Macaca mulatta: one gene and its partner. The protein of the gene in region 2 purifies or fractionates together with the protein of the main gene of each other region. This does not show direct contact. Links are inferred from orthologs where the notes say so. Each region holds a gene or a part of one and is shown on either strand. Other genes may lie near its edges.

Evidence for each region. The genes of interacting proteins can lie anywhere in the genome.
Region 1: the proteins of NSF (region 2) and STX12 purify together in Homo sapiens (co-immunoprecipitation; 4 studies listed by BioGRID and IntAct, with this or other methods). This does not show direct contact. The link is inferred for Macaca mulatta from reciprocal best matches to the Homo sapiens genes NSF and STX12.

Annotation. Positions count from the first base shown.
Region 1 is NC_133406.1:213,166,918-213,171,229, forward strand, and holds the start of STX12 (syntaxin-12), read right to left. Parts: upstream 2,867-4,312; 5' UTR 2,853-2,866; coding exon 2,735-2,852; intron 1-2,734. UniProt on the Homo sapiens protein: SNARE promoting fusion of transport vesicles with target membranes. Together with SNARE STX6, promotes movement of vesicles from endosomes to the cell membrane, and may therefore function in the endocytic recycling pathway.
Region 2 is NC_133421.1:70,502,936-70,507,187, forward strand, and holds the start of NSF (vesicle-fusing ATPase), read right to left. Parts: upstream 2,943-4,252; 5' UTR 2,901-2,942; coding exon 2,889-2,900; intron 1-2,888.

The DNA of each region.
Region 1 (4,312 bases), on a different chromosome or scaffold from region 2:
ATCACTTGAGAACAGGAGTTCAGGACCAGCCTGGACAACATGGTGAAACTCCATCTCTACAAAAAATATAAAAATTAGCCAGGCATGGGCCAGGCGCAGTGGCTCATGCCTGTATTCCCAGCACTTTGGGAGGCCAAGGCAGGCGAATCACGAGGTCAGGAGATCGAGACCATCCTGGCTAATACGGTGAAACCCCGTCTCCACTAAAACTACAAAAAATTGGCCGGGCGCGGTGGCTCAAGCCTGTAATCCCAGCACTTTGGGAGGCTGAGACGGGCGGATCGCGAGGTCAGGAGATCGAGACCATCTTGGCTAACACGGTGAAACCCCGTCTCCCAGCTACTTGGGAGGCTGAGGCAGGAGAATGGCATAAACCCGGGAGGCGGAGCGTGCAGTGAGCTGAGAACCGGCCACTGCACTCCAGCCTGGGCGACAGAGCGAGACTCCGTCTCAAAAAAAAAAAAAAAAAAAAAAAAAAAAAAATTAGCCGGGCGTGGTGGTGGGCGCCTGTAGTCCCAGCTACTCAGGAGGCTGAGGCAGGAGAATGGTGTGAACCCAGGAGGCGGGGCTTGCAGTGAGCGGAGATTGTGCCACTGCACTCCAGCCTGGGCGACACAGCAAGACTCCATCTCAAAAGAAAAAAAAAAAAATTAGCCGGGCATGGTGGTGCACACCTGTAGTCCCAGCTACTTGTAGGGCTGAGGCAGGAGGACTGCTTGAGCCAGGGAAGCTGAGGCTGCAGTGAGCTGAGATCATGCCACTGCACTCCAGCCTGGGTGACAGAGTGAGACCCTGTCTCAAAACAAAAATTTAAATGTAAATTTTAAAATGTATGTTGGATCTACCTTTGGGAGTATTCTGGTTTTATATATATATATATATATATCAGCATGTATATAATATTCATTCAACATGTATCCATCTATCCATCTTCATGTTTATATTATATATTAAATATAATATTATATATGATATATATAATATTGAATACAAGTTGAATGAATATTTTGCAAATAGATATTAAAATCAGATTTAGCTTCAACAAGAAAATTTCAGCCTTGAACTAGAATTTTCTGATCTAACCTGTATTACAGCTCCTTCACAAAAGGAAACTGGAACAAAAAGTACTACACTTTCTAACCAGTGGTCATATTATTTTTTTTTAGTTCTGGATTTTAAGAGGTCACATACCCTTCCTTTCACTTCCAGAGTCTCAACTGCTTTTGATCAGAAACTTCTCAAATTCTACAATATACATTTAGATTTAAAAGCAAAGTGAGCCTGGGCAACATAGTGAGACCCCATCCCTACAAAAAATTTAAAAATTAGCCTGGCATGGTAGATGCATCCTTGTAGTCCTCGCGACTCAGCAAGCTGATCAGGAATTCAAGGTTATAGCCAGCTAGGATCGCTCTACTTCACTCAGATCACTGCACTCTGCCTGGGTGACAGAGCTAGACTCCATCTCTTAAAAACAAATTTAAAATATTTAATTTTTTTAAATTAAAAAAATTAGGCTGGGCACAGTGGCTCACGCCTGTAATCCCAGCACTTTGGGAGGCTGAGGTGGGAGAAGTGCTTGTGCCCAGGGGTTTGAGACCAGCCTGGCCAACACAGCAAGACTTCATCTCTACAAAAAAGAAAAATTTTTTAAAGTTTAAAAACTAAAGCAAAGTGATATTATTTAAAATACAGAATTGTAATTCAGGACTAACTAGTTCTACCTATTAACAGAGTACACCAAGCTCACAAAACACAATAATAAACAATAAGGATGATGACCACCATTCTTTCCAAGTAAAGCTGTTGCTGATCTCCTGTTTATAAGGCTCCAAGATGATTTTCAAGCCCAAGAAACACCCTGTATTTGACTCATTCAGCTACAGTTTCACTCAGACCCTAATGGGGAGGAGGGAGTTTTAAGACAAGCAATACCATTCTGAATTCCACCAACAACTCTACCATGCATTACTTGCTCTGTGGTTGTGGCTAAGTCTCTTAGCTTCCCTGTGTACCAGATTTGTTCAAGAGCAGCTAAGTAGGGAAGGAAAACAAAAGCCTCATCTGCCTGAAATCCAAAAATACACCCCAATGCTTTGTTACAAAAGACAAAATAATGTAAGTTGAAATGTTGCTGGTGAATTATCTTTATTAAAACAGAAGTCATCCCACCTCTCAAATACCAGTCATTGTGTCTGATTTCCGAATTCATTACAGGAAGAACTGTGTATGAAGTCATCCAAACACATGCACTCTCCACTTCCCTTAATTGAAAGTTGCTGATTTCCGAGGAGCCAGGGGCTGAGCAGAATGTAAACCTAAAGCCTAAATCAGTAAACAACCCCATCCAAACTGGCCTAAGAGGAAAGCGAGGTGGGTGGGGAGGAAGGTGGATGACAGGAGAAACTCGGCTGACCACTGCGCCAAGTCAACGCACTCACAGCTCTCGAGATGACACACACTCCCCTTCCCACCCTCGGGCTGTTTTGGTCCCAGAACCGTGGGGGCAGAACTCCAGAGAAGCAGCTCAAGCTTCAGCTGGGGCCGGGGACCCTCGGGCAGCCCGGGCCTGACAGACTGGGGGAGGCAAGCCCACCGCCCCCAGGGTGGACAGCCCGAGACAGCCCCAGGTGTGGCCTCGGCCGTAGTCCCAGCCGGGCTCCGCGACCCGACAGTCTCACCCAGGCCTGTCCCGGGGACAGCTCCCGCCCCCCAGCTCGGTACCCCGGCTCACTGGCTTGGCTGATCCGCTGGATGTTGCCGCTGCACGTCTGGATGATGCTGCTGAAGTCCCGGAGCTGGGGCCCTGAGGGCCCCAGGTTCCGGTACATATCTAAGGGACCGTATGACATGATGAGGAGCTGAGACCTGCTCGCCCTACACCACTCTCCTACCGGAAGCAGCCGCCAGCCGGGACCCGCAGGCTGACGGAGAAACTGGGAAGAGCAAGGGCGGGGAAGAAGCTAAGGCTGCGTGCGCACTAGTCCCGCCCCCACGCAGCGCGCACGCGTCCTCCCCGCCCCTGTTCAAAGTGCGCAGGCGCCGCTGGGACTGGGGCTGGGACTGTATCTTAGAGACAGGACTGCCTGGGGCTTGGGGGTTGCGGGGCGGAGAGATGACGTCACCTAGTTGGGGCTGAGATTGGATGAGCTTGGGTGGAGGTGTTGTTTCTCGCCAGGGCACATTGACAAGAGGCAAGAATTTTCGATTTGCATAAAACTGTACCAGATGATCTCAGCCCTTACATCCTATTCTGTTTTGAGAATTCAGGCCCAAATATGGGAGTATTCAACGTTGAAACTCAGACCAGGAACCAAATCGTAACCCGAAATTCCTCTCTACTTCCGTCCCCAGGGTTTTGGTAGTATTTGGGGTTTCCAAACCGCTTTCATTTCTCCCTCCACCCCTCTTCTAATCTAAACAATAAAATAATAATGTTTATTAAGCACATACTATGTGTGAATCCTCACCGCAATTCACTTGTTCATAAGATTTTTCACAGCAAGGGACGATGCTCTGTCTACATTTTTATCATTAGAATAGATAGCGGAGAGTCGGTTTTTTAAATATTGAAGTAAAGTAACTCATCAATGTTAGCATTATTATTTTCCCTATTACCGATGAGAAAATTAAGACCAGCGAGGTTACTTCGCCTTGCTGAAGTTTGACTGCAAAAGCCAAACGCTAAGCTGACTCTCTCCTCACCTTGCTACTTCTCTAAAATTCATTCTCATCGAAATCTCTCCCAAATAGCTCGTTCATCTATATCCCAAACCGGGATTTCTTGGAGAACTAGATTCCTAAAATTTAAAAATCATACCCTTAAATACTTTGGAATGCATGACCTCAATTTTCCTACAGAAGACTGCATTTCTGTAAGCGTATGTTAAAAGGAAAGACATAGGATTTTGGTTTGGGAGGAGATCAAGATGGTGAGAAGTGAAGGGGAACTGGCTGTTTCCTGTGTTCTCCACCCCACCCCAGCCTGCTTTGCAGTCTTTGGAAAATGCAAAGACGGAAAGCTGCTTGCCTGGGTGAAAGGAGACCCCAAGTGAATGAGCCTGTATATGGCCTTAGGGTTTTTTCTTTATTTTATTTTATTTTTTTTGAGACAGGGTTTCGCTCTGTCACACAGGTTGGAGTGCAGTGGCATGATCTCCGCTCACTGCAACCTCCTTCTCCTGGGCTCAAGAGATCCTCCTACCTCAGCCTCCAAGTAGTTGGGACTACAGGCGTGCGCCACCACGCCCAGCTAATTTTTCTATTTTTTGTAGTGATGGGGTTTGGCCATGTTGTCCAGGCTGGTCTCGAA
Region 2 (4,252 bases):
AAGGATTTGGTTTTCTCTAAAAAGTAATGGGATGCTGCTGAGGAGGGGTTTAAGTAGTAATGGGCATGGGAAGGAACAATCAATGTCAGTGTCCAGAATGAACCGGAGGTGGGCCATACGCTCTAAGAAGACTACTTGGGAGGCCGGGCACGGTGGCTCAGGCCTGTAATCCCAGCACTCTGGGAGGCCGAGGCAGGTGGATCACCTGAGGTCAGGAGTTTGAGACCAGTCTGGCCAACATGGTAAAACCCCATCTCTACTAAAAACACAAAAATTAGCCGGGTGTCATGGCGGGCACCTGTAATCCCAGTTACTCAGGAGGCTGAGGTAGGAAAATGGCTTGAACCTGGGAGACGGAAGTTGCAGTGAGCCGAGATCGCGCCATTGCACTCCACGCTGGGTGACAAGAGCGAAACTCCGTCCCAAAAATAAAACCAAAAAAACAACAAAACAAAACAAAACAAAACAAAAAAAACTACTTGGAAGCTTCCTGCAGTAGTCCAGACCAGAAATGGTGGTAGTCTGGGAAAACGAGGTAAAAATGAAGATGTGGAAAGGTGAACAGACAGGAGATTTTTGGGTTAAAATGACAGAACCCATGTGACCAATCCAGCTAGTCCAGTGGGTGATTTGGATCTAGTTTAAAGCAATCATTCTCCCAAACCAGAGTCTTTAGACCCTAATTAAACACCTTTATGGGGGGCAGGAGCAGAACTGACAAATTTTACCAAATTTTACCTTTGTATAGGGCAGAGGACATGGATAGGGCAGAGGAGAGATATCAAGGGTTACCCACCCTCTCCCTCCCCCAGATTCCCAGCCTATATAACTGGGTGGATGACGGTATCATTCAGTGAGATATTCCTATCTCACTGAATAGGTACAGACAGTCCCTGACTTACAATGGTTTCACTTAACATTTTTCAACTTTACAATAGTGCAAAGGTGAGAGGCATTCAACAGAAACTGTACTTTGAGGACCTACACAACCATTCTGTTTTTCACTATCAGCACAGCAATAAATGACATGAGGTATTCAACATTTTATAATATAGGTTTATGTTAGATGATTTTGCCCTACTGTAGGCTAATGTAAGTGTTCTGGGGATGTGTAAGGAAGGTAGGCTAGGCTAAGCTATGATATTCGGTAGATGGGGTGTATTAAATGCATTTTCAACTTCTGATACTTTCAGCTTACAATGGGTTTATCAGAAGGTAACTCCATCGTTAAGTTGAGGAGCATCTACACAAGTTAGGTGGGCTAAGATCCTAGGTTCGGAATTGAAAAAGCTGAGTTTCAGGGGCCTTGATTTTAATAAGCTGTTGGACGTATTAACCTGAAACTTAAAGGGCAAGTCTGGACTGGGGGTAAAATATTGAGAATCACTGCCATATAGACAGTTGTAGCTATGGGCTTAGAAGAGATTGCCTGAGCAGAAATACCAGCAATGAATAACAAAGTAGAGGAGAGTGAGTCCGCAAAAGAGAGGTCTGAGTCAAACCAGGAGCTAGGCATCCAAGAACACATGTAAAGAGTGCTTTCCATCGAGGAGGCCATGGTCAACAACGTCAAAAGCTGCTGAGACATCAAATAAGGATTGAAAAGTTCAATTAAGTTGAGGGACAGGTTTCAGTGGGATGATGGGACAGAAATCAGACTGCAGTAGGTTGAGAGGTGAGTAGGTGGTAAGCAAATGGAAGACAATAAATATAGACAACTCTATCAAATTTCCTGCTGTAAAGTGGGAAGGGAAAAGGTGACAGCTGTGGGGGTGGGGGAAGGGTTTGTTTTAAGATAAAGAAGCTTGATTAAGAAGGAGTAGATGAATATACAGATAGGGTCTGAAGTATTGGTAGAAGGACTAGCCTTAAAAGGAGAGACCACGGGGAAAAGGAAGAGAAAGAAGCCAAACTAAATGACCTTTAAGATCCCTTCTGACTCTAGAATCTCATGACCTACAAGTCCCTTTAGATAGGGCTTTTGCATATATGCATAAATCTATGCAAACTTATTCAAAAATTCTGGTACAAAGAGATCAGTCAAGCACATCTTTCGCCCCCAGTGACGCAGTTAATGTCCTCAGGTTTATAACCAGTGTAATCTCTGGGCAGGACTCATCCCTTTAGAGCTTTTAGCTCAAGGCAGACTGCAATACAGCACTCAAGCAGCTCTATCTCTCCTCGCCAAATCCATCCTACCCAGCAACCCTAAAGCCTAAAGGAGGAAGTAAATTTAAAACCCTGAAACTACAGCATATCCTGCTGCATTGAAAGCGACTGTCATCCATAAAAACAAAACATGACAGCCCAAATCCATCCTCACTCCAAGCTAAAGCAAATTCCCGCCTGACCTGACAGTTGACAGGTCCCCCAGATGGCAGGGCTCTAACACTAAAAGTCATTGGCACCCCCTCCTCTTTCCCAACGACCTTTAATTTGTGAAGAGCCAGACATGGGTTCCTGATGATCCTTCCTACACCGCTCGCCCCGAATGCAGTAGACGTGCTCCCGGCACTTACTCCGGCGCCCCCTAATAAGCCCTCGCAAGGGGGTGCGGAAAGACCCCCAGAGCCAGTCAGAAGGGGCTTCGGCGACCGCGACCCTGCGGCTATGTGGAGGACAAGGGAAACAAGCCCCAAGGAATGGGAGAGGACGACCTGAGGCGCAGCAGACGCGGGTAACGAGGGGGTCATCTCCCCTCGAGGGGGGTGGAGTTGTTGAGGAGGGCTAATCCTCTGCCACCGCTCCCCTGCTACCCTCGAGTCCCGCTCTGGCCTCGCGCCCCATTGCTCGGATTCACTCCCACTCCCCTGGGGCCTCCTGGACCCCGGAGTGCCCGCGAGCCCGGCGCCCCTGCCTCGAGCCTGGGCTCCCAGACCGGCACTCACCCGGCCCGCCATCTTCGCAGACACGTCCGGCTAGGCGGCTGCAGCTCTGCGTTCGGCAAAGCCCGCCCCCGCCGTGCGCGCGCCCCCGCCGCCCGCCCTCGCGCAGGCGTGCAGCCGCGGTGAGGACGCGCGCGTCCCCGGAGTCCTCGCTCCACAGGGCGCGCGCGCGGGGCGGGCAGAGCGGCGGCGCCATTTTGGCTGGAGCTGCTAGGCGGTGGCAGGTGACCGTGTTTCCAGCGTGCGCGTCCGTCCGCGGCTCGCTCGAGGGCTGTTCCTGCGAGTCTCGTGTCCCCTGGCCGTTCGCGCCGGAATTTGTCGCAAGGGCTTTAATGCTTCGGATCACTTATCCCTTTGCCAGCAGTTGTTCGCCCTCGAATGTCCATTTTGCTCTGTGCTTCCAGACTCTCTGTTTTTTGGTTTTTTTTTTTAGACGGAGTCTCGCTGTGTCGCCCAGGCTGGAGTGCAGTGGCGCCATCTCGGCTCACTGCAAGCTCCGCCTCCCGGGTTCACGCCATTCTCCTGCCTCAGCCTCCCAAGTAGCTGGGACCACAGGGGCCCGCCACCACGCCTGGCTAATTTTTTGTATTTTTTAGTGGAGACGGGGTTTCACCGTGTTAGCCAGGATGGTCTCGATTTCCTGACCTCGTGATCCGCCCGCCTTGGCCTCCCCACGTGCTGGGATTACAGGCGTGAGCCACCGCACCTGGCCTCCAGACTCTCTTAAACATGGCCTTGCGGTTGAGGAAACCCGGCGCGTTCCCTGGCTTCCCCCAGAAAATATCAGCTCCGAGGAGTTGGTTCTGAGTTCAAATTCTCCATGAATTTTCTCACTTTTCTTTGTAGGCGTACTTGTTTTCCTAGTTGCTGGAATTGTCATCGTTGGCAGTTTTATTTATGTGTAGCCTGGAAAACTCAGTATTTTCTTCAGATTTGAAAGCGAATTGTGATTATTTTTATTAAATATTTGTCTTTAATAAAGGCAACTTGTATCTTCGACAACCTTTTCATTCCCCAGCGTTGTTTCATCTTAGACACTATACATGGTAGAATCTGAATAAAATATAACCTAAATTTCAGCCTTGTTGAACCTCGATGTTTTCACCATACCATTCCTCCACTGGAATCTCAGAATATCTAACTTCAAGCAGCCTGGGAGGAGACAGATTCTGCCGAATGGATTCCCTTTTGCTTTTATTTACCCCACTATCATCTCTCTCTTCATATTTGCGCAAGACAATAGGGAATGATAGGATTTGTTCTCTTTCATTTCTCACAGTTAATTAGAATAAATCGGGTTTTTTTTCCCCCCAGCATGAGAAAAGAAGGGAAATAACTAGAAGAGCTGAGCATGCATAGTGATTTAA